Anolis sagrei: one gene and its partners. The protein of the gene in region 2 binds, or shares a complex with, the protein of the main gene of each other region. Links are inferred from orthologs where the notes say so. Each region holds a gene or a part of one and is shown on either strand. Other genes may lie near its edges.

What was found.
Region 1: the proteins of small ubiquitin-related modifier 3 (region 2) and SENP1 are in contact, whole or in part, in a crystal structure (PDB 6NNQ), measured with the Homo sapiens proteins. The link is inferred for Anolis sagrei from reciprocal best matches to the Homo sapiens genes SUMO3 and SENP1. Residues at the interface, in NP_008867.2 of Homo sapiens: Gln24, Ser53, Arg55, Gln56, Arg58, Arg60, Asp62, Gly63, Pro65, Asn67, Thr69, Asp70, Gln74, Glu76, Asp84, Phe86, Gln87, Gln88, Gln89, Thr90, Gly91, Gly92; in NP_001254523.1 of Homo sapiens: Gln440, Asp441, Glu446, Arg449, Leu450, Thr451, Lys455, Trp465, Leu466, Asn467, Asp468, Glu469, Asn494, Thr495, Phe496, Lys500, Arg511, Trp512, Lys514, Lys515, His529, Gly531, Val532, His533, Trp534, Gln597, Gly600, Ser601, Asp602, Cys603.
Region 3: the proteins of small ubiquitin-related modifier 3 (region 2) and SENP2 are in contact, whole or in part, in a crystal structure (PDB 2IO1), measured with the Homo sapiens proteins. The link is inferred for Anolis sagrei from reciprocal best matches to the Homo sapiens genes SUMO3 and SENP2. Residues at the interface, in NP_008867.2 of Homo sapiens: Arg55, Arg58, Arg60, Phe61, Asp62, Gly63, Pro65, Asn67, Asp70, Leu75, Asp81, Asp84, Phe86, Gln87, Gln88, Gln89, Thr90, Gly91, Gly92, Val93, Pro94, Glu95; in NP_067640.2 of Homo sapiens: Gln385, Asp386, Phe393, Lys394, Leu395, Arg396, Trp410, Leu411, Asn412, Asp413, Glu414, Ser439, Thr440, Phe441, Pro444, Lys445, Arg456, Trp457, Lys459, His474, Lys476, Val477, His478, Trp479, Met497, Gln499, Gln542, Asn544, Gly545, Ser546.
Region 4: the proteins of small ubiquitin-related modifier 3 (region 2) and USPL1 are in contact, whole or in part, in a crystal structure (PDB 7ZJU), measured with the Homo sapiens proteins. The link is inferred for Anolis sagrei from reciprocal best matches to the Homo sapiens genes SUMO3 and USPL1. Residues at the interface, in NP_008867.2 of Homo sapiens: Gln24, Asp25, Gly26, Ser27, Val28, Arg58, Arg60, Gly63, Gln64, Pro65, Ile66, Asn67, Asp70, Leu75, Phe86, Gln87, Gln89, Thr90, Gly91; in NP_005791.3 of Homo sapiens: Ala234, Cys236, Trp237, Pro321, Gln322, Leu323, Arg324, Met330, Glu331, Ser332, Val334, Phe335, Leu339, Tyr368, Thr378, Thr380, His393, Phe394, Gly395, Pro396, Asn398, Arg407, His421, Val423, Tyr451, Asn454, Asn455, His456, Phe457, His493.

What each region holds. Positions count from the first base shown.
Region 1 is NC_090022.1:186,967,582-186,974,672, forward strand, and holds the start of SENP1 (sentrin-specific protease 1), read right to left. Parts: upstream 3,013-7,091; 5' UTR 2,766-3,012; intron 1-2,765. UniProt on the Homo sapiens protein: Protease that catalyzes two essential functions in the SUMO pathway.
Region 2 is NC_090023.1:223,327,745-223,335,224, reverse strand, and holds the start of small ubiquitin-related modifier 3, read right to left. Parts: upstream 3,010-7,480; 5' UTR 2,846-3,009; coding exon 2,825-2,845; intron 1-2,824. UniProt on the Homo sapiens protein: Ubiquitin-like protein which can be covalently attached to target lysines either as a monomer or as a lysine-linked polymer. Does not seem to be involved in protein degradation and may function as an antagonist of ubiquitin in the degradation process.
Region 3 is NC_090023.1:222,744,857-222,752,837, reverse strand, and holds the start of SENP2 (sentrin-specific protease 2), read right to left. Parts: upstream 3,015-7,981; 5' UTR 2,981-3,014; coding exon 2,886-2,980; intron 795-2,885; coding exon 739-794; intron 244-738; coding exon 134-243; intron 1-133. Other genes in the region: TMEM41A (transmembrane protein 41A), read left to right, coding at 4,575-4,675. UniProt on the Homo sapiens protein: Protease that catalyzes two essential functions in the SUMO pathway.
Region 4 is NC_090023.1:32,671,910-32,679,021, forward strand, and holds the start of USPL1 (SUMO-specific isopeptidase USPL1), read left to right. Parts: upstream 1-4,098; 5' UTR 4,099-4,224; intron 4,225-7,112. UniProt on the Homo sapiens protein: SUMO-specific isopeptidase involved in protein desumoylation. Specifically binds SUMO proteins with a higher affinity for SUMO2 and SUMO3 which it cleaves more efficiently. Also able to process full-length SUMO proteins to their mature forms.

The DNA of each region.
Region 1 (7,091 bases), on a different chromosome or scaffold from region 2:
CTGTTCACTGTTTAATTGCTTTTATGTATGTATGTATTTTTGACATAGGCATCAAATTGTGCCTTCCTTTGTAAGCTGCCCTGAGTCCCCCCTTGGGGGTGAGAATGGTGGGGTAGAAGTAACGGAAATAAATAAATACAATAATAGTAAAATAGCAGATTTTGGGCTTTTTCACAACTAAATATTAGAATAGTTTTCAAGTCAATTCTAATTTCATTCTAAAAACCACAGTCTCTGTATATCCATGTTCACCATGTGTTGGAAGTATGTAGGGGAAACCTGAGTGTGCTATAGAATGACAAGGCATATGACTTTCCCCTCAAGATAGACACAAGTCATGTTTTGTCTGTCATAAAATCGACTAAATGGGAGCAGCAGGTGTTATTGAGAAGGATGGGTATAATCACAGTGTGTGAAAGCAACCAGTGAAACAGGAGAGAGAGGGAACTATTAAGTGGAAGTGGAAATTCCTGTTAGAAAGTTGAAGAGATGCCAGGAGGAAGTCACACAGCCCATTAGCATCAGAGCAAATAGCAATAAAAGACAAGTCTGCTAGAACAGTATTAGAAAAGATATAAGATTATTTCCTTTATTCATTATTTCCTTAATGCAATATTTTTTCCGAATGAAGCAGAGTGTTTGAGGACCGGGACATCCATAGGGATACCAAGGTGCTTGTTTATAAAGCTATTGTTCTCCCAACCCTGCTATATGCCTGCGAGACGTTGACTGTTTACAGACGTCACATGCAACTCCTGGAACAATTCCATCAGCGCTGCCTCTGGAAAATCCTGCAAATCTCTTGGGAAGACAAGTGGACAAACATCAGCGTGCTGGAAGAAGCAAAGACCACCAGCATTGAAGCGATGGTCCTCCGCCATCAACTCCGCTGGACCGGATGCCCGACCACCGTCTCCCAAAGCAGTTGCTCTACTCTGAACTCAAGAATGGAAAACAGAATGTTGGCGGGCAGGAAAAGAGATTTAAAGATGGGCTCAAAGCCAACCTTAAAAACTGGCATAGACACTGAGAACTGGGAAGCCCTGGCCCTTGAGCGCTCCAGTTGGTGGTCAGCTGTGACCAGCAGTGCTGCAGAATTTGAAGAGGCACGAATAGAGGGTGAAAGAGAGAAACGTGCCAAGAGGAAGGCGCGTCAAGCCAACCCCGACCAAGACCGCCTTCCACATGGAAACCATTGCGAGAGAAGATGCAGATCAAGAATAGGGCTCCACAGTCACCTACGGACCCACCGCCAGGACACTGATCCTGGAAGACTATCCTACTCGGCCAACAAGGGATCGCCTAAGTAATTAATGCAATATAATAACATATAATGACAATATTGTGATGTTGTTGTTCATTCGTTGTTCAGTCGTCTCCGACTCTTCGTGACCTCATGGACCAGCCCACTCCAGAGCTCCCTGTCGGCCGTCACCACCCCCAGCTCCTTCAAGGTCAGTCCAGTCACTTCAAGGATGCCATCCATCCATCTTGCCCTTGGTTGGCCCCTCTTCCTTTTGCCTTCCACTTTCCCCAGCATCATTGTCTTCTCTAGGCTTTGCTGTCTTCTCATGATGTGGCCAAAGTACTTCAACTTTGTCTCTAGTATCCTTCCCTCCAGTGAGCAGCCGGGCTTTATTTCCTGGAGGATGGACTGGTTGGATCTTCTCGCAGTCCAAGGCACTCTCAGCACTTTCCTCCAACACCACAGTTCAAAAGCATCTATCTTCCTTCGCTCGGCCTTCCCTAAGGTCCAGCTCTCACATCCGTAGGTTACTACAGGGAATACCATGGCTTTGACTAGTAATACTAAAATATTACATATATAATTACTACTGATAATATATAAAGATATCTTGTTTTATTATTTTATATTTATATATTTGACATAAAATTTTGGATTGTGTGCTGCTTTGCGTCTCCATATGGAGAGAGAAAGAGGGCTAATATGATTAAATAAAATGCTTGAACTAAACTTTTTCTCAGTGAGGTCTCAAAAGTGCCACGCAAGCTCACTTTCCCAGTAAGAAAGGCTTTTTGTGTTCTTACAATATACCCAAAGTATGACACCCTCCACTGAGTCAGCTTTTGGTTCCACACTTTTCTTGTCAGCCAGACTTTCCTCATGAGGCACTCTTAGAATCATAGATTCAAAGAGTTGGAAGAGACCTCATGGGCTATCCAGTCCAACCCCCTGCCAAGAAGCAGGAAAATTGCATTCAAAGCACCCCTGACAGATGGCCATCCAGCCTCTGTTTAAAACCTTCCAAAGGAGCCTTCACCACACTCCGGGGCAGAGAGTTCCACTGCTGAACGGCTCTCACAGTCAGGAAGTTCTTCCTCGTGTTCAGATGGAATCTCCTCTCTTGTAGTTTGAAGCCATTGTTCCGCGTCCTAGTCTCCAGGGAAGCAGAAAACAAGCTTGCTCCCTCCTCCCTGTGGCTTCCTCTCACATATTTATACATGGCTATCATATCCCCTCTCAGCCTTCTCTTCTTCAGGCTAAACTTTCTTCTGAAGTTTTTACTCCTTCCAGGCAGACAACATTGGGAATGCCATATACACCGAAAAGACTCAAATCCTGTCAGACTTCACCCCTCAGGTGAACTTTTTCCCGCTCAGAGCTGGGTCACTCTGCCGCCATGCTGCCCTCGCAAAGACAAAGAGAGGGAAGAGAGGTGGGTGCAGCTCAGGTTAATGGAGGGACACATAAGGTAAAAGGGGAGGGGGAGCTGTTTCCATGACGACCCCTTCCAAAAACCTACCGGAAGAGTAGGCCGCGAACCAAACAGGAAAGGAACCACGTCAACTCGCGCTCTCTCTCTCTCTCTCTCTGCCGCCAAACTCCTTCCCCGGAGGCTTCAGGACTTGATTTAGACTTTCTCTGTCCTCTCTCTCACACACACACTCCTTTCTTTCTTTCTTTTCCGCTCACCGGATTCGAAGAGGCGGGAATGTCAGGGGAACCGGAAGTAACTTCCCGGCGCTCTCGGTGATTTTTATCCCGCCCCCTTTCTTAACGTCACTTCCGGGCAAGGAAAGAAGGTAGAACCGAGCCCCTGAGCAAGGGGCGGGGCCAACAGGATGCGAGGCACAACACGGAGGACAGAAGCGCATGCGCACTGGCGGAAGAGCGGTCGCGTGCGTTCTTTGTTTTGCCCTGCCGGCCACGTGCCTCAGACGGTGCTAGAGGTTGAGTGTCCCTGATCCAAAATGCCTGGGGGCCCAGGAACAGTGTGGATTGCGGCATCTTTGCTTGCGCCTACCTCCTGAGATAGCTTGGAGATCGGACCCAAGTCTAAACACGACATTCATTTATGTTTCATATGCATCTTATACACATGACCTAAAGGTAATTTTATACAGGATCTTTTGAATGATTTTGTGCATGGAACGGAGTCTGTATAATGTGTTGTCGAAGGCTTTCATGGCTGGAATCACTGGGTTGCTGGGAGTTTTCCGGCCTAGATGGCCATCTTCCAGTAGCATTCTCTCCTGACGTTTCGCCTGCATCTGTGGCAAGTATCCCCAGAGGTCTGTTGGAAATGAGACCAGTGGAGTGTATGTGTGCCTTTGGAGTGGAGTGTATGTGTGTCTTTGTCCTAACCTAGACATCTGGTTTACTAACATATATATTTGTTGTTCATTCGTTCAGTCGTCTCCGACTCTTCGTGACCTCATGGACCAGCCCACGCCAGAGCTCCCTGTCGGCCATCACCACCCCCAGCTCCTTCATGGTCAGTCCAGTATGGTCAGTCAAGTCAAGTCAGTCAAGTATGCCATCCATCCATCTTGCCCTTGGTCGGCCCCTCTTCCTTTTGCCTTCCACTTTCCCCAGCATCATTGTCTTCTCTAGGCTTTCCTGTCTCCTCATGATGTGGCCAAAGTACTTCAACTTTGTCTCTAGTATCTTTCCCTCCAGCGAGCAGTCAGGCTTTATTTCCTGGAGGATGGACTGGTTGGATCTTCTCGCAGTCCAAGGCACTCTCAGAACTTTCCTACAACACCACAGCTCAAAAGCATCGATCTTCCTTCGCTCAGCCTTTCCTAAGGTCAAGCTCTCACATCCGTAGGTGACTACAGGGAATACCATGGCTTTGACTAGGCGGATCTTTGTTGCCAGTCTGATGTCTCTACTCTTGACTATTTTATCGAGACTGGACATTGCTCTCCTCCCAAGAAGTAAGCGTCTTCTGATTTCCTGGCTACAGTCTGCATCTGCAGTAATCTTTGCACCTAGAAATACAAAGTCTGTCACGGCCTCCACGGTTTCTCCCTGTATTTTCCAGTTGTCAATCATTCTTGTTGCCATAATCTTGGTTTTTTTGACGTTTAGTTTATAAAGTTTACTTACATATATATATATATCTGGTTTACTTACCTATATTTACTTACATATATATATATGTAAGTAAACTTTATTACGGCCAATTATCTATCTATCTTCTATATATATATAAATGCTCTGTGCATAATAAGTACCTTAAAATCAAAAGAACCAATGAACGAAATCACACCAAATTTGGCAACAAAACATCTCACAACGCAAGGAGTAACCATCACTCAAAAAATTCGGATTTTGTCATTTGGGAGTTGTAGTTGCTGGGATTTATAGTTTGCCTACAATCAAAGAGCATTCTGAACTCCATCAACTATGGAATTGAACTAAACTCGGCACACAGAAATCCCATAACCAACAGAAAAAATTGGAAGGGTTTGGTGGGCATTGACCTTGAGTTTGGGAGTTGTAGTTCACTAACATCCAGAGAGCACAATGATGGATCTGGACCAAACTTGGCACAAGCACTCAATACGCCCAAATATGAACACAGATGGAGTTTGGGGGAAATAGACCTTGACATTTGGGAGTTGTAATCATTGGGATTCACAGTTCACCTACAATCAAAGAGCATTCTGAACCCTACGAATGACAGAATCAGGGCAAACTTCCCACACAGAACCCCCATGACCAACAGAAAATCCAGTCCAACTCCCTTCACCAGGGCAAGAAAACGTAATCAAAGTCCTCCTGACAAAGAGCCATCCAGCCATAGATATAGATAGATAGACAGATAGATATGATTCACACACATATAGTATCCTAGATTTGAAAGGGACCCTTAAAGAAGGACAATTATATGTTGCATGTTCCAGGGTGGGCAAACCAGACACTCTCCACATCAACACTGGCAAAGAAACAGCAAGACATACTGTTTACCCACAAGCATAAAGAAATTACATATATTAGAAACCAACACTTTCTCATTACTTTATTTTCCAGATGAACAGACTGGGCCACAGCAACGCGTGGCAGGGGACAGCTAGTTATTATTATTAAACCGTATTTGTACCCCACTAGCATCTCCTGAAGGACTTGATGCGGCTTACATAGGCCAAGGCCTCAACACAACAACAGCAAAACAATAACAGTACACTTCAAAGCAAATAAAAACATAAGCAATAACAAAACATTACACTATTACGCAATAAAAACCAGGGCCGGGCCGGTACAAGTTACAAAAAGTGCAGGGTGTGGCAAATAGCATGTTGGATTTCTGGGCAAGTGCAATGTGCAGAGAGTCTTAAACTTTGATAAAGTGCTTCTGGGACATAGTACTGGAGATTATCCTATGTGCCCTCCCCAAAGACATTAGACTAGCACCCACTTTGGCAGTCTTTAGGAAGAATTTGAAGACCTGGCCAACGAACGTGGGTGCTAGTCTAATGTCTTTGGGGAGGGTGTTCCAGAGTCCGATGACCAGATGTACGGGGTATATATATATGTAATAGGCCTGTTTGATCAAGAAAAAAATTGTTTCTAAAATCGATTCTTAATTGGGGTGTTTTTTTGTTTCGATATTTAAAATATTTACAAAACTTTCCAAAAAAATGTTTTGTTATTTACGAAATTTCGTAAATATTTACAAAACATTTTAGAAACAAATTTTTTCTTGATCAAACAGGCCTAAAAGATAGAGATGTAGGGCAAATAGACATATGTTTGTGTGCTGGGGAGGGACTGGGCTGGCATGGCTGCAAATCCTGTTTCTTGCCATGGGAAAGGCAAATTGCTTCTGCTGCAGTGGCCCATCCAAGGCCCAGAGAAGAGGCCTGCCTTCCTGGCTCTCTCCCTGCGAGGCCCGGCCAGCCTTGCTTCCCCTCCCATTTGCGCCAAGCCCTTCCCTGCTGGGGAGAGGGGCCCCTCCTCACCTTCTCCTTCTTCAGCTTGTAGGGCCTGTGGCCCCGCGCTCGGCCTTTCTCTCGTCTCTCGCCCGCTTCTCCTCCTCCTCCTCCTCGCCGATCGGATGGCGCGCGCGCTCCTGCGCCCTCTTCCTCCTCCTCCTCCTCCCGGCACTTCCTGCAACACAGCTGGGAGAAGGAGGAGGAGGAAGAGGGCGCAGGAGCGCGCGCGCCATCCGATCGGCTCCGGCTGCTGCGCCCTCCTCCTCCTCCTCCTCCCAGCTGTGTTGCAGGAAGTGCCGGGACTCGGGAGGAGGAGGAGGAGGAAGAGGGCGCAGCAGCCGGAGCCGATCGGATGGCGCGCGCGCTCCTGCGCCCTCTTCCTCCTCCTCCTTCTCCCAGCTGTGTTGCAGGAAGTGCCGGGAGGAGGAGGAGGAGGAAGAGGGCGCAGGAGCGCGCGCGCCATCCGATCGGCTCCGGCTGCTGCGCCCTCTTCCTCCTCCTCCTCCTCCCGAGTCCCGGCACTTCCTGCAACACAGCTGGGAGGAGGAGGAGGAGGAGGGCGCAGCAGCCGGGCACCAGCAGCACAGCAGCCTCCATCCCATTAACGAGCGGAGCTTCAGCTCGTAAAAAAAATGGGGCTGCTGTTTCGATATTTTTAAACCCTTCCGGGTTTGAAAATATGTTTTGAAATCGCGTCGGATATGCAAAAATAACGATTTTATAACAAAATAACGAATTAACGAACTAAAACTGACAGGCCTAATATGTAAGTAAACTTTATATATATATATATATGTCCAGGGTAGGGCAAAGAACCCTTGTGTGTTTGGAGCAACTGTAACAATTAGCCAGCTTGATTAGCAATTGAGTAGCTCTGCAGCTGCAAAACCTGGCTGTTGCTGCCTGGA
Region 2 (7,480 bases):
TCACTGATGCCAATGGACTTTCTGCCATAAATAGAAATAGCCAATTTCCAACTGGAGAAGATAAGTGTTAATCTCTTCCTTACATGCTATAATATCCCTCCCCTTTCCACTGCACAATGATTAAACTAGGGAAGGCGAATCTATGGAAGCTAGGGTTGCCTGAGTGAAAAGTAGAAGGGGCTCATATATCTTTAAGTTTTGTGCAGCAGAGGAATCTAACGCCCAGAGTAAAGCGCTGGATGCACAAGCACGTGGGCGGCAGGGATCTAAATCCGAAGGAAACCAGTAGGGAAGACAACATGAATCCCAGAGCGGCTCCCCTACTTCCAACGGAAACGAAAGAGGGAGGGAAAAGGAAAGGGAAGTCTAGGCTGATGCGAAGCCGCGTGGTGGTCGCACGCCATCGCCATCCCTTGACAATAAGAGCTCCGGGGAGGGAAGCAGTCCCTTCTTCTCATCTTTTATTGCTTCCTCGGTTCACTCAGCAAGAGGCAAGGCATTACAACTTCAAGGTGGAAAATGGGGGCCCTTCTACACAGCCGTATAAACCAGAGTATCAAGGCAGAAAATCCCACAATATCGGCTTTGAACTGGGTTATCTGAGTTTACACTGCCATATATTCCAGTTCAAAGAAGAAAATGTGGGATCTCCTGCCTTGATATTCTGGGTTATATGGCTGTGTGGAAGGGCCAAGAGTATCCTTTATCCCAGGCATGGGCAAACTTCGACCCTCTCGGTGTTTTGGACTTCAACTCCCACAATTCCTACCGGCTGTAAGGAATTGTGGGAGTTGCAGTCCAAAACACTGGGAGGGCCCATGTCTGCCTTATCCCAAATGCTGGGGACAAGAAGAGTTTTGGATTTGGGAATATCTGATGATATATACACATAATGAACCGTCTTTGAGCTGGGGCCCATAGTCCAGAACAAGAAATTAATGGACGCTTAAGGTCCATTTTACACACAAACCTTAAATAATATGCTGCATGAACACGACTGGCTGCAGTGAACCATCAAGATGCACAGGTATCACTCTTTCATTCAAAACACATAGACAATTTTGGAGCCAGCTAATTACCTCCCAACAAAGGATTCCCCCAGGCAGGAAGCAGCTAGGCTTTGAAGCTGCAAGGCCATTCAGTGGTAATCAAGGTGGTTCAATTGCAACATTCACACCTGCCTCCAGCAGACAAGAGTTCTTTCTCCCACCTTGGGCCATTCCACAGGTATATAAATCCCACTAGCCTAGTTTCCAACAGACCTCACAACCTCTGAGGATGCCCACCATAGATGTGGGCGAAACGTCAGGAGAGGATGCTTCTGGAACATGGCCATACAGCCCGGAAAACGCACAGGGCCCTTCCACACAGCTATATAACCCAGAATATCAAGGCAGAATAACCCACAAGATCTGCTTTGAACTGGGTTATCTGAGTCCACACTGCCCTATATCCCAGAGCCCTTCCACACAGCCCTATATCCCAGAATATCTAGGAAGAAAATCCCATTAATATCTGCTTTGAATTGGGTTATCATACTCAGATAATGTGGGATTTTCTGCCTTGTTATTCTGGAATACAGGCCTGTGTGGAAGAAAATCCCATAATATCTGCTTTGAACTGGGTTTATCTGACTCCACACTCAGATAATGTGGGATTTTCTGCCTTGATATTCTGGGATATAAGGCTGTGTGGAAGAAAATCCCATAATATCTGCTTCGAACTGGGTTTATCTGAGTCCACACTCAGATAACATGGGATTTTCTGCCTTGATATTCTGGGATATAGGTCTGTGTGGAAGAAAATCCCATAATATCTGCTTTGAATTGGGTTATCCGAGCCCACACTCAGATAATGTGGGATTTTCTGCCTTGATATTCTGGGATATAGGGCTGTGTGGAAGGGCCCCCAGTTCAAACCAGAAAATGTGGAATTTGATTCAGCTGTGTGGAACGGGCCAAAGAAATCCAATTTTGGGGCATTTTGGTGTCCCAGATCAAGTATAACATGACTATTTAGTAATGCTAGTACTGAAGAAAGAGGTTTCTCTGTGTAGGTAATTTCCAAACCGGTTTGTAGGCCTGGATGGTGATTCCACAAAGCAAGGATGCGCAGGGAGGGCTTTTCTTTCGCGCGCTTTTGTGGGAGTCGAGCTGCAGTTTGGAGGCTTAAGAGACAGTTTAAAAGGCTTGGGAGTAGAAGGATATTTGCATATATGCATTATGAGATACCTTGGGAGATGGGGCTTGAGAATGAATATAAAATGCATTGATGCAAAAAAAGGAATTTCATTCACAATATTGTGAAGCAGGCCTGGACCAACTTGGGCCTGCTTTCCAGGTGTTTTGGACTCCAACTCCCACCATTCCTAACAGCCTCAGGCCCTTTCCTTTTGCCCCTCAGCCGCTTAAGCGGGCCTGAGGCTGTTAGGAATGGTGGGAGTTGGAGTCCAAAACACCTGGAGGAAGGCCCAAGTTGGCCCAGGCCTGTAATAAACTATCAGAAACATCAGGGCGAAAATGAATGCAGTTTGGCGCCACTTTGGAAGGCTCAATAGGAGTTGTATCACCACAAGGCCTCCCATGCCCAAGAGGAACTACAAATCCCATAACGCGTGGGTGATGCCAAAGATGCGAGAGAGGCAAGCCCTGAGGCCTAACAGCACTCCACCCCCGCCTCGCCGTTCTTCTTCCGGGTCGAGGAAAGGCCTGGCTTCTCCCTCACTGAGAGAAAGGAAGGCCGCACTTTTCCCCTCAGAAGAAGGCGGCGGTGAGGATGATGGAGGCCAATCCTTGCCTCCTTCCCTCCCGCTGATTTAACTCACCTTTGGCTTCTCCTCGGACATGGCGACGCTTCGCTGAGGGAAAGAAGCACCTCCGAAGCCCGTCTCCCTCTCTCTCTCAATCTCCCCTTCTCTCTCTCTCTCTTCAATCCCGCCCGCAGCAACTGCCCGCCAGCACGCGCTTGGCGCCCCACAATCCCCGCTTCCTGATTGGCTCCCGGCGGGGCCACGTGGGGGGCCGCGCTCGCCCCCGAGGCGCGCTCCCGAGCGGGGTTCTTTTCCTCGGGAGCGCGCCCGGCTGTGTGCGTCATCGCCGGCTGAATGCGGCGGAAGGGAGGGAGGGAAGGAAGGATGGGTGGGTGGGAGAGGCATGCTTTCCAGCGCGGGAGGAAGAAGAAGGGGAGGAGCCTCTCTTGTGTGGGTGTGGGTGTGTGCTTAAATCAGTAAATACGTTACAAAACATCACTTCTTTGTGACTTCTTCCTTCAGAAAAATAGTCTTCACTGAAGGAAATAAATGTTATATTGGCCAATGCAGCCAATATAACGAACAATAACAAACAATAAACAATAATAAACAATGCAGCCAATATAACAAACATTAACCAACAAACAAAAATATAACAATAAATAACAATAAACAATGCAGCCAATATAACAATATAACAAACAATATAACAATAAACAATAATTAACAATCAATATAACAAACAACAATATAATAAACAATATAACAATAATAAACATTGCAGCCAATATAACAACAATAAACAATATAACAAACAATAATAAACAATGCAGCCGATATAACAAACAATAAACAATATAACAAATGATATAACAATAAACAATAATAAGCAATGCAGCCAATATAACAATAAACAATAATAATGCAGCCACTATAACAATATAACAATAAACAAAAATAAACAATGCAGCCAATATAACAAACAAACAATAAACAATAATAAACAATGCTGCCAATATAACAATATTACAAACAATGTAACAATAAACAATAAACATTGCAGCCAATATAACAATATAACAAACAATAAACAATATAACAATAAACAATAAACAATGCTGCCAATATAACAATATTACGAACAATGTAACAATAAACAATAAACATTGCAGTCAATATAACAATATAACAAACAATAAACAACATAACAAACAATATAAAAATAAACAATAATTAACAATACAGCCGATATAACAAACAATATAACAATAAACAATAATAAACATTGTAGCCAATATAACAACAACAAACAATAAACAATATAACAACAAACAATAATAAACAATGCAGCCGATATAACAAACAATAAATAATATAACAATAAACAATAATAAACAATGCAGTCAATATAACAATATTACAAACAATATAACAATATAACAAACAATATAACAATAAACAATGCAGCCGATAAAACAAACAATATAACAATAAACAATAACAATGAAGCCAAAATAACAATATTACAAACAATATAACAATAAACAATATAGCGAACAATATAACAATCAACAGTAATAAACAATGCAGCCAATACAACAATATAACAAACAATATAACAATAAACAAACAATATAAAAACATCCCTGCTTGTATTTCCTACTTTCCTATACACCTGATATGTTCCCCCTCTTTTAAGTGTATTTCAGAAAAACCTCAATAAATATGAATAATAAAAAAGCAGGCCTATGCAGTGCTAAATGTAAGTCATCCATATTAGGCCTGGGCAAATGTTGGCCCTCCAGGTGTTTTGGACTCTAACTCCCACAATTCTAACAGTGCAAAAGCTGAGAGCCAAAGAAGGACCAGAGAGCTCAAGAACATCTGGTGAACAAAGAAGGCTGAAGAAATCCAACACTTTGCAGATACCCATGATGCTCAGGGATTTTTAAAGCCACAAAAGTCATCGAGAGACCAAGAATTCTTGGCATATACCCTCTATGCCCATGAGATGGAGCCAAGCTTTTGAAGGACAAAAAAAAAAAAATCAATGGCACTACATTGGAAAGAGAACTACCAAAGCCTCCTGAATCACAGCTCCAATGTGGCCAAAGAGATTTTCTTATAAATCATGCAACAACAAACCAGGGATGAGCTTGCAGCACTGCCTAGTTTGGAAGAAATCAGTAATGCCATCAGCCAACAAAAGAATAACAAAGCCAGCGGACCTGATGGGATCCCTGCTGAAATATTTAAAGAGGGTGGACCTGAGCTAATAATAATAATATTAATAATATTTTGCCATACCAAACAATCAAACTTGTACCACAAACACCATCTGCCTGCAACAAAGAACTGGTGGCATCACAAGCCTGAAAAAGTTACAGAAAATGAATACGTCAAACTACTCTGGGACTTCAGAATTCAGACTGACAGAGTTTTGGAGTACAATACGCCTGACCTTACGATCGTGTTAAAAAACAAAGTATGGATTGTTGATGTGGCAATCCCAGGCGACAGCAGGAAAAGCTGACACAATATGAGGATTTAAAGATCGAACTGCAAAGATTCTGGCACAAGCCAGTAAAGGTAGTCCCAGTGGTGATTGGCACACTGGGTGCAGTGCCTAAAGACCTTGGCCTGCACTTTAACACAATAGGCGCTGACAAAATTACCATCTGCCAGCTGCAAAAGGCCGCCTTACTGGGATCTGCACGCATTATTCGCCGATACATCACACAGTCCTAGACACTTGGAAATGTCCGACGTGTGATCCAATACAACAGCCAGCAGAGTGATCTTGTTTATTGTGGACTCATCTTGTTGTGTTTCAAATAATAATAATAATAACTACTTTATTTTTATACCGCGCCTCCATCTCCCTGAAGGAACTCTGGGTGGCTTACATGAGGACAAGCCCGAACTTAATATGGTTAAAATATAACACAACAACATTCATAAAGACAATTTAAAACAATATAAAAACAACCACGCATAATACAATATAATACAATATAAGACAATAATCAAGCAAACCACCAATGGTCTGAGTAGTGCAAAGTTCTGAGGTTGGGGAGGTGGGATGGTGCAAATCATTTACAAGGATGGGATGATGATGCTTTGGAAGAAACTGCTTTAGAAGGCTTCAGCACCCCCATTGATTTGGAAGATGCTGTGGATGAATATAATGGATAATGGGTAAAGTCCTGAAACCAGATGACAACGTTAGGAAATGGGGAGCAATGTAAAGAGAGCACGATATCTCTAGTTGGGGAACAGTGGCAATGTGCAAGAATTGGTTTTGGATCATAGCTGGGGACAAAAGTATCAGGGGAACTGTCTAGTCAAAAGCACAATGGAACATCCACATTTTTAGTTCTTTGCAGAAAGTGGACAGATTGGGTGCTAGTCTAATCTCCCTGGGGAGAGAGTTCCAGAACCAGGGGGCCACTACAGAAAAGGCCCTCTCTCTTGTCCCCACCAACTGCACTTATGACAGGGATAGGAGTAGAGGAGAGCTTCCCCAAAAGTTCTTAGAGATTGTGCAGGTTCGTAGGGTACAATGCGGTCACGAAGATAGGCAGGTCCCAAACTGTTTACGGCTTTATAGGTGAGCTGACACAACAACTACACCAGCTCATTGAAAAAGTGTGAGAGTCTGAGAAAATCCCAGCAGACGTCAAGGATGCCACCATCACCCCCCTTTTCAAAAAAGGGGAAAGAACAGACTACGGAAACTATCAAGGTATCTCACTTCTAACCTCTGCTGAGAAAATCCTCGCAAGAATCCTTGCAAACCACCTTCTACCTGTCTCAGAAGACACTCTCCCAGAATACCAGAATGACTTCCACCCCGGCAGAGGAACAGTGGACATGATCTTCACTGCACGACAGCTCCAAGAAAAATACAGGGAACAAATCATCCTCTCTACATGGCATTCATTGACCTCGCAATGGCATTCAACACAGTGAATAGCAGTGCTCTCTGGACCATCCTCCAAAAAATCAGGTGCCCTGACAAATTTGTGAACATCCTGCAGCTCCTCCACAATGATATGATGGCAACACTCTTGGCTGGCAATGGCTCCCAAAGTGACCCATTTAAGGAGGAATCAGGTGTCAAACAGGGATGTGTTATTGCCCCAACCTTATTTTCCATCTTCATCGCTATAATACTGCACCTTGTAAGGAGAACAAAATTATCCCCCTGGGGGATTTTAACACAAGAATTGGTTGAGGCTTTGACTTGTGGCCAGGGACCATAGGAAAATATGGGGTTGGAAACAGCAACTTGAATGGCATACTGCTTCTCACCAAATTTGCGGAACACAACCTTGTCATCACCAACATGCTCTTCTGCCAGAAAAACAAGCTCAAGACATCATGGAAGCACCCCCGATCAAATCATTGACACCTTTTAGACTATGTAATTACATGTGCCAGGGACCACCGCAATGTGCTTCTCACAAGAGCTATGACAGGTGCTGATGACTGCTGGACAGACCACAAGTTAATCCGATCCACGATGGGGGTTCTGTGTGCCAACAGTGGTTCAATCCCATTGTTGGTGGAGTTCAGAATGCTCTTTGATTGTTGGTGAATTATAAATCCCAGTAGCTCCAACTCCCAAATGTCAAGGTCTATTTCCCTCAAAATCCACCAGTTTTCACATTTGGGCATATTGAGTATTCATGCCAAGTTTGGTCCAGATACATCATTGCTTGAGTCCAC
Region 3 (7,981 bases), about 580 kb from region 2:
GTATTTTAGATTACAATAGGAATTACTAACTGTAAGATACTCAGTTCCATCCTACTCTCTGCCAAAACAATAGTTCTATGCATTTAATTTGGCTTCAATAAGAAGATCCTATCATCTCAAAAAGCAAACAAACCTCATCTTTGGCTTCTGCATGCTGTTCTTCTGTCTGAAGATATTTGGATGCCAACTGGGACGGGAGTGTAATTAAATTGGCAATTCCCCTTGCCAACATACCAAAAATACCTGGAAAGAGTTAATAACATTAAATGACACATCATTTATCTAGGAAATTTGGTACGGAAGTCAAAGGAAAACTCACATCCTAAATCTCATACAGTACAATACAGTATCACTGTCACAAGGGAAAACTCCCACAGGAAGTCCTTCTTTGGGTTATGATTTTTTCTGACATTCATGTAATTTTGACTATGTTAGAGGATTGAGTCAATGGATTACACAAATGGATTCCAAGAACATTTAGGGCAGTACAATGTTCTTTACTATCTCTATGTCACAAACATATAGCAAATTACTGTCAATAGTTCTCAAACATGTATTTTTACAATGTTCTCCTCTTCTTAATCCGGGCCTTATTCAAACAACATCAATTCACTATATAAACATAATTACAGGCTACTACTAGTAATTGTTATGATCTATTTCAAGCATTTGCTCTTTCTGCTCTTTTCTTTCAAGGTTTACAATCATATGAAAAGTGATTGAACAGGGGTAATTTACCAAGTTTTTGCCTTTTTATTTGCTCATGTTCAAAGTCTTCTGGATTAGACTGAATGCTGTGAAGAGAAAAAGACAAATTAATTTGAGAAACAAGGAATCTTTCTTTCTCAGCTTGAAGTACCAATCTCCAAAAACACCATGCTCTCAGGCATAACAGGCACCATTTTACAGCTACCGAACAGTCACTGTACATATCTACAAACTTGATGGTCACATCTGCTAACCCGGAGGTTTTCCTTATAACAATACTCAATACCAATGTATGGGTTACCCAACTGACCTGCAGCATATAAGAAAGGTGGAATTTGTTAATTGTAACCATTAAGACGATGCATGCCTGCAGCAGTTATTCTTGACTTCATTACATCAAAAAACAGTATTTTCGTATTACTTGATTAATCTACTTTCTTGATATGAACAAAAAAAATTCCAATCTACCACATATATTGCAAGATTGCTGCATAGTTACATGTCCATATGGTCTCAAACAATAACAATACTGGGACACAGCTTCATTACATATACTGTATAGGAAATGATATATATTATGAGAACCAACACAAACCAAATATTTCTCCATTCACAGATATATATTATATAGCTTTGGATAGCATAGGGAAGTGTTAACACTCCTATAGTGTTTGTTTTGCTGTCTGTGGACTTTCCGTCCTGGCGATAATTGAAAAAATTTGGGGGGGGGGGAGGGGGGAGAAAGCTTGTTGTGGAAACAAGGATTGGTGAGAAAGCTTCAGTAGAGACACCTTTCCCCCATGATAACTCTTTCAGGAGTGAATTTCCCTTCCTGGGGTAGATTTCTCTCCTCTCCTATTGTCTCATCCTCACTCTTACTATGTCATTTATTGTCATAGTTATACTCTTAACTATGAGTCGTTTATAAGTTGCATGTTTGTAACTTGAGATCTGACTGTAGAATACATGCAAACTAATCGCTGTGCAGGACACGGTTATGGATTTCCCTTCTTAATTTTTTCATAGCTCACTGCTACCTGGAGACCCCAAATGGGTTGGGAACCACTATCTACTGGCTATTAGAAAGTGTGGGAATTGAAGTCCAAAACACTGGGAGGGCTGAAGTTTGACCATGCCTGATCTATACTGTTGGACGAATGCAGTTTGTCACCACTTTAACTGCATGGTTTAATGCAGAGGTCCTCAAACTAAGGCCCAGGGGGCGGATACGGCCCTCCATGGTCATTTACTTGGCCCTTACTCAGGGTCAATATAAGTCTGAAATGACTTGAAAGCACACACAACAACAACAATCCTATCTCATCAAACAAAAGTAGGCCCACACTTCCCATTAAAATACTAATAAGTTTATATTTTTAGAATTGTTTTTCATTTTAATTATTGTATTAAGTGGGTTTTGCACCTAGTGCAGTGTGCATAGGAATTCATTCATGTTTTTTTCAAATTATAATCCGGCCCTCCAACAGTTTGAGGGACTGTGACCTGGCCCTCTGTTTAAAAAGTGAGGACCCCTGGTTTAATGTTACAGAATCATGGAAGATGTGGTAGTTTTACAAGGTCTTTAGGCTTTTCTGCCAAAGAGTATTGGCGCCTCACCAAACTACAACTCCCATGTTTTTGTATTATTGAGTGAAGTCAAAGTGCCTTATTTCCACAGTGTAGTTCAGGTATGGGCAAATTTGGGCTCTCCAGGTGTTTTGGACTTCAACTCCCACCATTCCTCAGAGCCTCAGGCCCTTTCCTTTTCCCCCTCAGCCGCTTAAGCGGCTGAGGGGGAAAAGCAAGGGGCCTGAGGCTGTGAGGAATGGTGGGAGTTGAAGTCCAAAACACCTGGAGGGCCCAGGTTTGCCCATACCTGGTGTAGTTAGTGCACCAAACTGCCAGGTGTAGTTGGTGAGGTCAAACTGTCCGAGGGCCCTTCCACACAAACACATAACCCAGAATATCAAGGCAGACCATCCACAATATCTGCTTTGAAGTGGGCTATCTGAGTCCACACTGCCATATACCCCACTTCAAAGCAGATACTATGGGGTTCTATGCAGCTGTGTGGAAGGGGCCTGAGAGAGGGAGGCCTTCGGGGAAGGCTCTTCTTTGGCCGGGCAACTCCCCTCCGAAACCCCTTGGAAGGCCCGCTCCGCCCAAAGAGGAGGTACCGTCTCTTCCTCGGCCGAGCAGGCGGCGCCTCCCGGCGGCAAGTGGGCCTTGGGGAGAACCACCAGCGCAGAGCCTCGGGCAGCCATTGCTGCATAGGCCTCAGCCGCAGCGACCGGGCCGGAAGCACGTCATTGGCCAGCGACGGGGCGCTGAGGAAGTGACGTAGCCACGCTTTCAATAAGGAGAGAAAAGCACACCTGTGAAAGGGAAATACTTTAGTTTCCTTAACTCAAATCCCTCACACGCCTCAAATACGTTCCAATTCTGTATGTGGCATTCAGGTAAAGGTTTCCCTCTTGACATTAAGTCCAGTTTTGTCCGAATTCTGGGGAGTGGTGCTTATCTCTATTTCTAAGCCGAAGAGCCGGTGTTGTCCGTAGACACCTCCAAGGTCATGTGGCCGGCATGACTGCCTGGCGCGCCGTAGCGGTACCTATTGATCTACTCACTCTTTAAAAAAACCTCTAAAATTACAACAGCAAAACAACAGAGGGGAAATAATCAGGCGCATCTAATCACCTCGCAACAAAAGATTGCCCCAGGAACTGCCAGGCCATCAAATGCTAATCAAGGTGGTCAGTTGAAACATTCACACCTAGCTCCAGCAGACAAGAGTCCTTTGTCTCACCCTGGTCATTCCACAGATATATAAACCCATTTTTCCTAGTTCCACTAGACCTAATAGAGGGGAAACAATCAGACACATCTAATCACCTCTCAACAAAAGATTTCCCCAGGCACTGCCAGGCCATCAAATGCTAATCAAGGTGGTCAATTGAAACATTCACACCTAGCTCCAGCAGACAAGAGTCCTTTGCCCCACCCTGGTCATTCCACAGTTATATAAACCCAATTTTCCTAGTTCCAATAGACCTCACTACCTCTGAGGATGCTTGCCATAGATGCAGGCGAAACGTCAGGAGAGAATGCTTCTAGAACATGGCCATACAACAACCCAGATCTGTTCACATTTGCATGTTTCACTCTAAACAAACTCTAAAATTACAACAGCAAAACAACAGAGGGGAAACAATCAGGTACATCTAATCACCTCTCAACAAAAGATTGCCCCAGGCACTGCCAGGCCATCAAATGCTAATCAAGGTGGTCAGCTGAAACATTCACACCTAGCTCCAACAGACAAGAGTTCTTTGCCCTACCCTGTTCATTCCACAGATATATAAACGCATTTTTCCTAGTTCCAATAGACCTCACTACCTCTGAGGATGCTTGCCATAGATGCAGGCGAAACGTCAGGAGAGAATGCCTCTAGAACATGGCCATACAACAACCCAGATCTGTTCATATTTGCATGTTTTCGAACTGCTAGATTGACAGAAGCTGGGGCTGACAGCGGGAGCTCATTCCGCTCCCCAGATTCGAACCTAAGACCTTTCAGTTAGCAAGTTCATCAGCTCAGTGGTTTAACCCACTGCGCCACCGTTCAACCTTATGTTTGTTTTTGGTTTTTTGGACTTCATTTCCCAGAAGCCAGTGCGACAGAATTCAGGGATTGGTGTTTCATCCTGGAAATCCTGGGTCTCTGGCCCTTTAAGACTCACGAGAGGGGCGGGGCGCGGCTTGGAGCGCCAGGAGTGCCCGCCCTTTTCTGCTCCGCTGGCTCCTCTGCCCGCTGCTTTCAGTTCCGCCTCTCGTGCCTCCCCAGGACTCATCGCTGGTGCTCCGCCATGAAGCCGCTGGTCGGGTTCCTCCTAGTCCTGGGAGCCGCCACCGCCGGCCTTTCCCTGTTGTCGTCGCGGCTCCCCGGAGAGCCCCGCGCGGGGAGCAGGTGAGTCGCTGCTGCTGTCGCCTCCTCCTTCGGCTCTCTCAGCCTGGAGAACTGAGTGCAGCTTTGACACCATCCCACCTCAAAGGCGTGAAGCCATGGGAGATGTTGTACTTTGACAGGGTTTGTAGCCATCTCTGCCAAAGAGTGCTGCAAGGAACTGCAACTCCCACAATCCCACAGCCTTGAGCAAGGGCTGGGAAAGTGGTGTCGAACTGCATCAGTTCTACAGTGTGACCTCTTGGCATAATGATATTCCAGGCACTGGAGAACAGGCATGGGTGAACTTGGGCCCTCCAGGGGTTTTGGACTTCAATTCCCACCATTCCTCGCAGCCTCAGGCCCCTTCCTTCTCCCCCTCAGCCGCTTAAGTGGCTGAGGGGGAAAAGGAAGGGGCCTGAGGCTGCGAGGAATGGTGGGAATTGAAGTCCAAAACACCTGGAGGGCCCAAGTTTGCCCATGCCTGCTATATAATCTATGTAGTTTGACACCACTTTACCAATGCTGTGGATCCTGGGAGTTGTAGTTTGCCAAGGCACCAGCATTCTTTGGCAGAGAAGGCTGAAAACCTTGTGAAATCACAACTCCCATGATTCTATTGCATTGAGCCATGGCAGTTAAAGTGGTGTCAAACTGTATTCATTCTACAGCGTGGATGCACCCAAGGTTAATGTCTCAGCATCAACGCCCATAGGCACAGTTGGCTATTCCTTTATCCGATTTGTCGTTGATCTGCTCCATTGGGTTTCACGCACATCTACAGTCGACTATAGACTTTGTTAAACTCCATCTCCTGGAATTCAGTAGCATTGAGTCATGGCACTTAAAAGTGCTATCAAACTGTGTTGCTTCTCCCATGTAGATGCACCCCTTGCATCACAATTCAGTTCAGATCGTCGTGTCCTGAATTCAGAAGGTCATGATTTATGATTGATGTTTTATTGACCTTATTATGATTGTATATAATATGTTAATGTTCTAAATGTTTCTAAATGTTTTCTGATGTTTGGGCATTGTATTATGCCTCTGTAAACTGAGTCGCCCGTGGGCTGAGAAAAGTGGTATACAACTATAGTCGATAAATACAACTATACAACTATAGTCGATAAATAAATAAACTTCATTAAACTCCCAGGAATCCATAGCATTGAGCCGTGGCAGTTAAAGTGGTGTCAAACTTCATTCATTCTACAGTGTGGATGCACCCAAGGTTAATGTCGCAGCCTCAACGGCATAGACGCAGTTGGCTATTCCTTTATCTGATTTGTCGTCAATCTGTTTGTTTGGGTTTCACACAAATATATAGTCAGCTATAGACGTTGCTAAACTCCATCTCCCATTATTCTATTGAGCCATGGCAGTTAAAGTGGTGTCAAACTGCATTCATTCTACAGTGTGGATGCACCCAATGTTCCTTTGGGTTTCATGCAGATATATAGTTGGCTATAGACTTCATTAAAGTCCATCTCCCAGGAATCCCTAACATTCAGCTATGGCAGTTAAAATGGTGTCAAACTGCATTCATTCTTGGATGCCCCCAAGGTTAATGTCTCGGCACCAACACTCATAGGCACAGTGGACTATTCCTTTATCCGATTTGTCGTCGATCTGTTCCATTGGGTTTCACGCAAATCTACAGTCGGCTATAGACTTGGTTAAACTCCAGCTCCCAGAATTCAGTAGCATTGATCCATGGCACTTAAAAGTGCTATCAAACTGTGTTGCTTCTCCCATGTAGATGCATCCCTTGCATTACAATTCAGTTCAGATCCTTGTGTCCTGAATTCTGAAGGTCCCGCGACTGTGGGAGTCAGCCTAAAAATACACCGCTGCCGAAATCTGATGCTGCCCTGAGTGCGGAAATGTGCTGTTGCATGCGGAGTCAAACTGAGTTTTGGCATCAGGAGTTGTTATGAAATGCAATCATGAAAGGATCCTGAATTAAGTGGCCTCAGGAGCCCAGTGACTCGCTCTGCCAGTTAAATAAACATCAGCACTATTTGTTCCAATATGACCCCGACAGCAGGTGGAGTGACATGTCATTCCAAGCTTAAATATTTCAGTCTAAAATGTTTCAGCATGTTTGATTTATTCTGTAAGATTTTTTTTTCATGTCAGGAGCAGCTTGAGAAACTGCAAGTGATTTCTGGTGTGAGAGAATTAGCTATATGCAAGGATGTTGCCCAGGGGACGCCTGGATGTTTTGATGTTTTACCATCCTTGTGGGCGGTTTCTCTCATGTCCCCGCATGGGAGCTGGAGCTGACAGAGGGAGCTCATCCACGCTCTCCCTGGATTCGAACCTCCGACTTGTCGGTCTTCAGTCCTGCCAGCACAAGGGTTTAACCCACTGTGCCACCGGGGGCTCATTGTGTAAGATACAACTCAAGTATGGTTCTAAGTGCTTTATTGGGGTGCATCTAAACCAGGCATGAGCAAACTTGGCCCTCCAGGTGTTTTGGACTTCAATTCCCACATTGGGAATTGTGGGAGTTGAAATCTAAAACATCTGGATGGCCCAAGTTTGCCCATGCCTGATCTATACTGTAAAATTAATGGTTTGATGCCACTTTTACTGCCAATCTATGGAACCCTGGGAACTATAGTTTGGTGAGGCACCAGCACTCTTTGGCAGAGAAGCCTAAGACTTTGTAAAATTATAACTCCTAGAATTCCAAAGCATTGATCCATGGTAGTAAAAGTACTGTCAAATTGCATTGATTTTACAGTGTAGAAGCATCATTAGACTTAATGGAAGACTGGTTGAATGATTCTCAAGGCTGACCTTTCAGTTTTAGAGAGCTGTCATCTCACTATGGAATATATCACTGATGTTTTTCCCCATTTCTTTTTGACTTTAGGTTATATGTCTAGGAGGCATTTGAATAGCCATTCTTTTAAATTTTAAGGATTTGTAAAACCACCGGCTTGTCTTTTCGCACAAAATCAAAGTTAAGCTGTATCCCATCACTCCCCACAGGTACTTGAATCAACTGCAATTCATTCCCGTAATTCCTGACCCAGAAAGTACCTTGTAGTAATCAAGGCTGTATTTTTTAAATTTAAATAACCATGTCTTTCAAGCAAAAACTTTTGAAAGATAAAAGTGTATCAATTATTGATGATTTCAAACGTCCATGGGGAACTAATAACAGGTGGAATTGATAGATTTCACACATAGCTAGCTGATCATTACAAGATGAAAAATACAGCCTAGGCAATAGTTCCTGTAGAATAAAATCTAACCTTAACCTATTTTTGATTAATTTCACCTTTCTTGCTTTGCTAATTTGCTTCTTAATTTTCTGTC
Region 4 (7,112 bases), about 190 Mb from region 2:
ACCCAAGAAGATATAAACCAATTGGATAAAGAAATCTCCTAGTTTCAATATAGACAAATCAGAGAATATTACATCAAAGGTAAGAAAATGGATTCATAGAAAAAGAAGTATTTTGGGACAAAGTTTTGATGACACAGAATAAATCAATAACTAAAATATTTTTTAAAAAACCACTAGAATGATCCACAGAAACCAAACAAACAAAGGAATGCATGATCAAATGGGCGGCAAATATTGGACATTCATTTAAGTTAGAGGTGTGAGAAAATATGTGAAATAAGAAATTAAAATGGACATATCCCTATGGTTTAAAGGAGAACTGGTTAAAAATTATATACAGATGGTACACCACCCCTCAGAAATTGGCAAGAAGTTATCCAAAAACGAATGATAAATGTTGGAAATGCGAGGAGAAGTGAGTTCCTTCTATCATATGTGGTGGACCTGCAAAACAGCTAAACAGTATTGGAAAGGCATTCAGGAAGAGACTCAGAAGATATTAAAAACAAGTATACAATTTAAGCAGAGCATTTCTTATTGGGAATGATAGACATGGGAATGGAAGAAAATAAAGAAAGACTCGTCAACTACCTGGTGACAACGGCTAGAATGAACTATGCACGCTATTAAAAGAAATACCGACAAAGGCGCAGTGGATTTTGAAAATTATGGATATAATGAAAATAGAAATTTTAACACAGATAATGAGCATTAACCAAGCAAAAAAAAAGAGAAAAATAACAGACTGGTCACTAATCAAAGAATACATGACTCAAGAAAACATCACTTTGCTAGTGAATATGTAAGAAGATTCACCAAGCAAGCAATGTCATCAAAGGAGAGAGAAGAAAGAGAGAAAGCAGAGCAAAGTTAAAATATTGGGAAACAAAGGAAGATGAAAACACTAGAGAAGATGGGAAGTCAAACTCTTCAACCGCCCCCCCACCCATTCCCAAGTTATCACCCCAACTTCCCCTTTATAAATCCTCCATAGCCCCTCTGTAGATCCCCCTCTAGTTGTAGTCTTTGAGGCAGTGTTTCACAACCTGGGAGTTGGGACACCTGGAGAGGTTGCCAGGAGGTGTCAGAGGGGTCGCCAAAGAGCATAAAGAAAACATAGTATTTTCTGTTGGTCATGGGGGTTCCATGTGGGAAATTTGGCCCAATTCTATCATTGGTGGGGTTCAGAATGCTCTTCTCATTGCAGGTGAACTATAAATCCCAGCAACTACATCTCCCAAATGTCAACTCTGTTTTCCCCAAACTTCACCAGTGTTCATGTTTGGGCATATTGAGTATTTGTGCCAAGTTTGATCCAGACCCATAATTATTTGAGTACACAGTGCTTTCTGGATGTAGGTGAACTACAACTTCAAAACTCAAGGTCAATGCCCACCAAACCCTTCCAGTGTTTTCTGTTGGTCATGGGAGTTCTGTGTGACATGTTTGGTCCAATTCCATCATTGGTAGAGTTCAGAATGCTCTTTGATTGTAGGTGAACTATAAATCCCAGCAACTGCAACTCCCAAAAGACAAAATCAACCCCCAACCCCCAACCCCACCAGTATTCAAATTTGGATGTATCGGGTATTTGTGTCAAATTTGGCCCAGTGAATGAAAATACATCCTGCATATCAGATATTTAGATTATGATTCATAACAGTAGCAAAATTAAAGTGATGAAGTAGCAATGAAAATAATTTTATGGTTGGGGGTCACCACAACATGAGAAACTGTATTAAGGGCTCGCAGCATTAGGAAGGTTGAGTAACACTGCTTTAAGGGGACATCTCTAGATACACCCCACCCATCTTGATGCCTACTCCACCAAGTTAACCTAACTCCCTCTTTTTTTAACCCATATTTCTGTACACATAATTCACTAATAAAATTATTTCAAGAGAGAGAGAGAGAAGGAGGAGAGACAAGAACAGCAATATGATAGCTTACTTACTTATTTACTTAGGCGATCCCTCGTTGTCTGAGTAAGATTGTCTTCCAAGATCGATGTATTGCCCGTGGGTCCGTAGGTGACTGTGGAGCCCTATTCTTTATCTGCATGTTCTACCGTAGTGAGGGCATTGGTTTCCAGGTGAAAGGCGGTCCCGGTCAGGGTTGGCTTGACACGCCTTCCTCTTGGAACGTTTCTCTTTCATCCTCCATTCATGCCTCTTCAAATTCTACAGTACTGCTGGTCACAGCTGACCTCCAGCTGGAGCGCTCAGGGCTTCCTCAGTGTCTATGCCAGAGTTTTTAAGGTTGGCTTTGAGCCCATCTTTAAATCTCTTTTCCTGTCCACCAATATTCCATTCCGTTTTCCATTCTTGAGTTCAGAGTAGAGCAACTGCTTTGGGAGATGGTGGTCGGGCATCCGGACAACGTGGCCGGTCCAGCGGAGTTGATGGCGGAGGACCATTGCTTCAATGCTGGTGGTCTTTGCTTCTTCCAGCACACTGACGTTTGTCCATTTGTCTTCCCAAGAGATTTGCAGGATGTTTTGGAGGCAGCGCTGATGGAATCGTTCCAGGAGTTGCATGTGACGTCTGTAGACTGCCCATGTCTCGTAGGCTTATAGCAGGGTTGGGAAAACAATAGCTTTATAAACAAGCCCCTCGGTCTCCCTACAGATGTCCCGGTCCTCAAACACTCTCTGCTTCATTCAGAAAAATGCTGCACTCGCAGAGCTCAGGCGATGTTGTATTTCAGTGTCAATGTTGACTTTTGCGGAGAGGTGGCTGCCAAGGTAGCGGAAAGTGTCAACATTTCCTAATGTTACATGATTAAGCTGTATTTCTCGTATTGCAGAGTGATTGGCTGGTGACTGCTAGAAGAGCACTTTAGTTTTCTCGATGTTCAATGACAGGCCGAGCTTCTCATATGCTTCTGCCAAGGTGTTTAGAGTGGTTTGTAGGTCTTCTTCTGAATGCGCACAGATGACGTTGTCATCAGCATACTGGAGTTCTATAACAGATGTTGTTGTAACCTCGGTTTTGGCTTCCAGTCTGCTGAAGTGAAATAGCTTGCCATCTGAGGAAGAGCACTTTGGTTTTCTCGATATTCAATGACAGGCCGAGCTTCTCGTATGCTTCTGCGAAGGTGTTTAGTGTGGCTTATATAGGTCTTCTTCTGATTGTGCGTAGACGACGTTGTCATCAACATACTGGAGTTCTATAACAGATGTTGTTGTAACCTTGGTTTTGGCTTCCAGTCTGCTGAAGTGAAATAGCTTGCCATCTGAGGAAGAGCACTTTGGTTTTCTCGATGTTCAATGACAGGCCGAGCTTCTCGTATGCTTCTGCGAAGGTGTTTAGAGTGGCTTGTATAGGTCTTCTTCTGAATGCGCACAGACAACATTGTCATCAGTATACTGGAGTTCTGTAACAGATGTTGTTGTAACCTCGGTTTTGGCTTCCAGTCTGCTGAAGTGAAATAGCTTGCCATCTGAGGAAGAGCACTTTGGTTTTCTCGATGTTCAATGACAAGCCGAGCTTCTCGTATGCTTCTGCAAAGGTGTTTAGAGTGGTCTTCTTCTGAATGTGCACAGACGACATTGTCATCAGCATACTGGAGTTCTATAACAGATGTTGTTGTAACCTCGGTTTTGGCTTTCAGTTTGCTGAAGTGAAATAGCTTGCCGTCTGTCCGATAGATGATTTCCACTCCGGCGGGAAGCTTCCCATCAACAAGATAAAGTACCATAGCAACGAAGACGGAGAATAAAATTGGGGCAACAACACATCCCTGTTTGACACCTGATTCCACCTTAAATGGGTCACTTTGGAAGCCATTGCTGTCCAAGACTGTTGCCACCAAATTAGCTTTACTTCCTCTTTTGTTTTGACCCATATTTCTGTACACATAATTCACTATTAAATGATTTCAAGAGAGAGAATGCAATATTCCTGCTTCTTGGCAGGGGGTTGGACTGGATGGCCCATGAGGTCTCTTTCAACTCTTTGATTCTATGATTCTATAAGAGAGAGAGAGAAGAGGGAGACAAGAACAGCAATATGATAGCAAAGAAAACCTCGCCTCAGGAAGAGAACAAGCAAATGAGAGCCCGGAACGCTTCTGCGCGGGGAGCGGTTTCCGGGGGGACTTGCCGGAAGTGGCGCACAGCCGCTGCCTTGAACGCGCGTACAACGCTACTGCTTGTTCCAAACGAGGAGGCACCTGGACCTGGAGCCACTTCCTCTGTCCGCGCGCTCTGCTGGGGTTCTGCAGGTGAGGAAAGGCCTAAGCCATTCGGCTGCAGTCTTCTAAGCAGAGAGAAGGCGGGAGAGGCTGCATTGAGGCATTTGGTGAAGAGGTGGGCGAAAGGTTTGGGATGGGAGTGTCTCTGCACCAGGCCTGGGCCAACTTCGGCCCTCCAGGGGTTTTGGACTTCAACTCCCACAATTCCTAACAGCCGGTAGGCTGTTAGGAATTGTGGAAGTTGAAGTCCAAAACCCCTGGAGGGCCCAAGTTGGCCCAGGCCTGTTATGTTTTGCTATCCTGTGTTCCCTGGTGGGGATTTTCCAACATATATTTATCCAGAGCACTCAGATGCTCATAGATAGGCAATGCCCATAATATAGGTATGTATATAAAGTCAGAAATGCTGCAGTAGCAAAAGCAAAGTATTTTTATAATATGTAATGTTTAGTTTAAGAGGCTATGGTCTAAAACAGGCACGGACAAACTTCGGCCCCCCAGGTGTTTTGGACTTCAGCTCCCACAATTCCTCAGCCTTTTTTTTTTCGTGTCAGGAGCGACTTGAGAAACTGCAAGTCGCTTCTGGTGTGAGAGAATTGGCCATCTGCAAGGATGTTGCCCAGGGGACACCCGGATGGTTTTTAAAAAATGTTTTACCATCCAGATGGTTTTTAAAAAATGTTTTACCATCCTTATGGGAGGCTTCTCTCATGTCCCTGCATGGGAAGCTGGAGCTGACAGAGGGAACTCATCCACACTCTCCTCCGAATTCAAACTTCCGACCTGTTGGTCTTCAGTCCTGCCGCTTCTGGTGTGAGAGAATTGGCCATCCGCAAGGATGTTGCCCAGGGGACACCCAGATGGTTTTTTAAAAAAATGTTTTACCATCCTTGTGGGAGCTGAAGTTCTCTCATGTTCCTGCATGGGGAGTTGGAGCTGACAGAGGGAGCTCATCCGCATTCTCCTCCAAATTCAAACCTCCGACCTGTTGGTATTCAGTCCTGCCGCTTCTGGTGTGAGAGAATTGGCCATCTGCAAGGACGCTGCCCAGGTGATGCCCAGATGGTTTTTAAAAAATGTTTTACCATCCTTGTGGGAGGCTTCTCTCATGTCCCTGCATCGGGAGCTAGAGTTGACAGAGGGAGCTCATCCGCACTCTCCCCCAAATTCAAACCTCCAACCTGTTGGTCTTCAGTCTTGCCACTTCTGGTGTGAGAGAATTGGCCATCTGCAAGGATGTTGCCCAGGGGGACACCCAGATGGTTTTTTAAAAAAATGTTTTACCATCCTTGTGGGAGGCTTCTCTCATGTCCCTGGATGGCGAGCTGGAGCTGACAGAGGGAGCTCATCAGCGCTCTCCCCCGAATTCAAACCTCCTACATACAATAAGTTCCAAAACTATTTTTTCCCAAGTTCTGCGCAGAAGTGCCCTAACTTTACTGTGAACAACTAGGGACAGATATGTTTAGCTACACTTAGAAATATGGACTATTGAATCTAAGTTTGATTTACCAAGATGATTATGATGTTCTTGAAATGCAATGGTTATGGTAACTTTGTGGCAGCCTGGACTTTGAAGCAAATATCTAGGCCCACCCAAATTAGAATGAACACAGCCATCCTCAAACACAATGCCAGTTTAATCATAGTTTGACATAAGTCTTATAAGACTATTTGAACAAAGCAGTATAGTGCACATTACCAGCCAAAGGGAGGACCTCTAGTATTTCTTTAATACTGTTAAATCCCCACAAACATTATCAGTGCTCACCACTATTGGAATACCTTTGAGGATGGGTTGAGAAAGGATGGCAGAGTCCCCATTTAGAGGAGCTGGCGATTCACACCAGTAGCACTTCAAAGGAAGCTTTCTTCAGTCCTTCTGGCACAAGGATTTAACCCATTGTGCCACCAAGGGATCCTTCTCACAGCCAGTAGGCTGTTAGGAATTGTGGGAGTTGAAGTACAAAACACACGGAGGGCCAAAATTTGCCCATGTCTGATCTGAATCCAGTTTTGTTCCCAATACCATTGATTAAAGGCTTCTGAATCAAAATCTAACAATCGGATTTAAGCATAAGCACTATTGAGGTTGTGTAAAGAATATTTTACTTATCTCTCCTACTTTATAGCATTTGCAACTCAACATTGATAATTAATATATTATGTATTAATATTTAATAATAAATAGTTTTCTGGGGTAAATTACTCAAATTATACATATGTCCAAGATATAGACTGTTCTATGGATTTGTAAATTAATATGTTTTTTAATAATAATAATATATTTCTACCTCACCACCATCTCCCTGAAGGGACTCGGGATGGCTCACAAAAGTACTGTGAGTACTGCATATAAAATGAACAATACATAAGTTTAGAAAACACCACATCATTCTATAAACAACAAACACACATAAGACCTCATCTAGTAAAATTGTAAGAATTCATAAAATGCAGTTTTAATGTTCAGATTTACACTATTATTTAAAAACAGTATTCTATCAACAATTTACCATATTTGTTAATTATTAAGATAGAGAGTAGGAGAAAAAAATCAGCAATTGACTAGAAGCAGTAGCAAAAAAAGTTATTTTTAAACAGAGCAGAACAATACACCAGCTGTGTACAAAGCAAATATGAACCTTAATCAAAATACCTTGCCCATGATTTAGAACTGTATGACAATTTGTTTCCCCTTTTTTGAAGTGCATGGTGTTTGTACACTTCATAAAGTACTCATTGGGTCAGAATCATGTACAGTCTGTATAGAACAATACTGTCATAACAGTGTTCTACAAAACTTTCTTGCTTGAATTCCTCAGTTAATAAACATGTCACAGAAAAATGCTTGTATTCAAAATTATTGAAGTTTGGTTAATTAGTATTGCCGCTGATTTACATCTCAAAGATGCCAA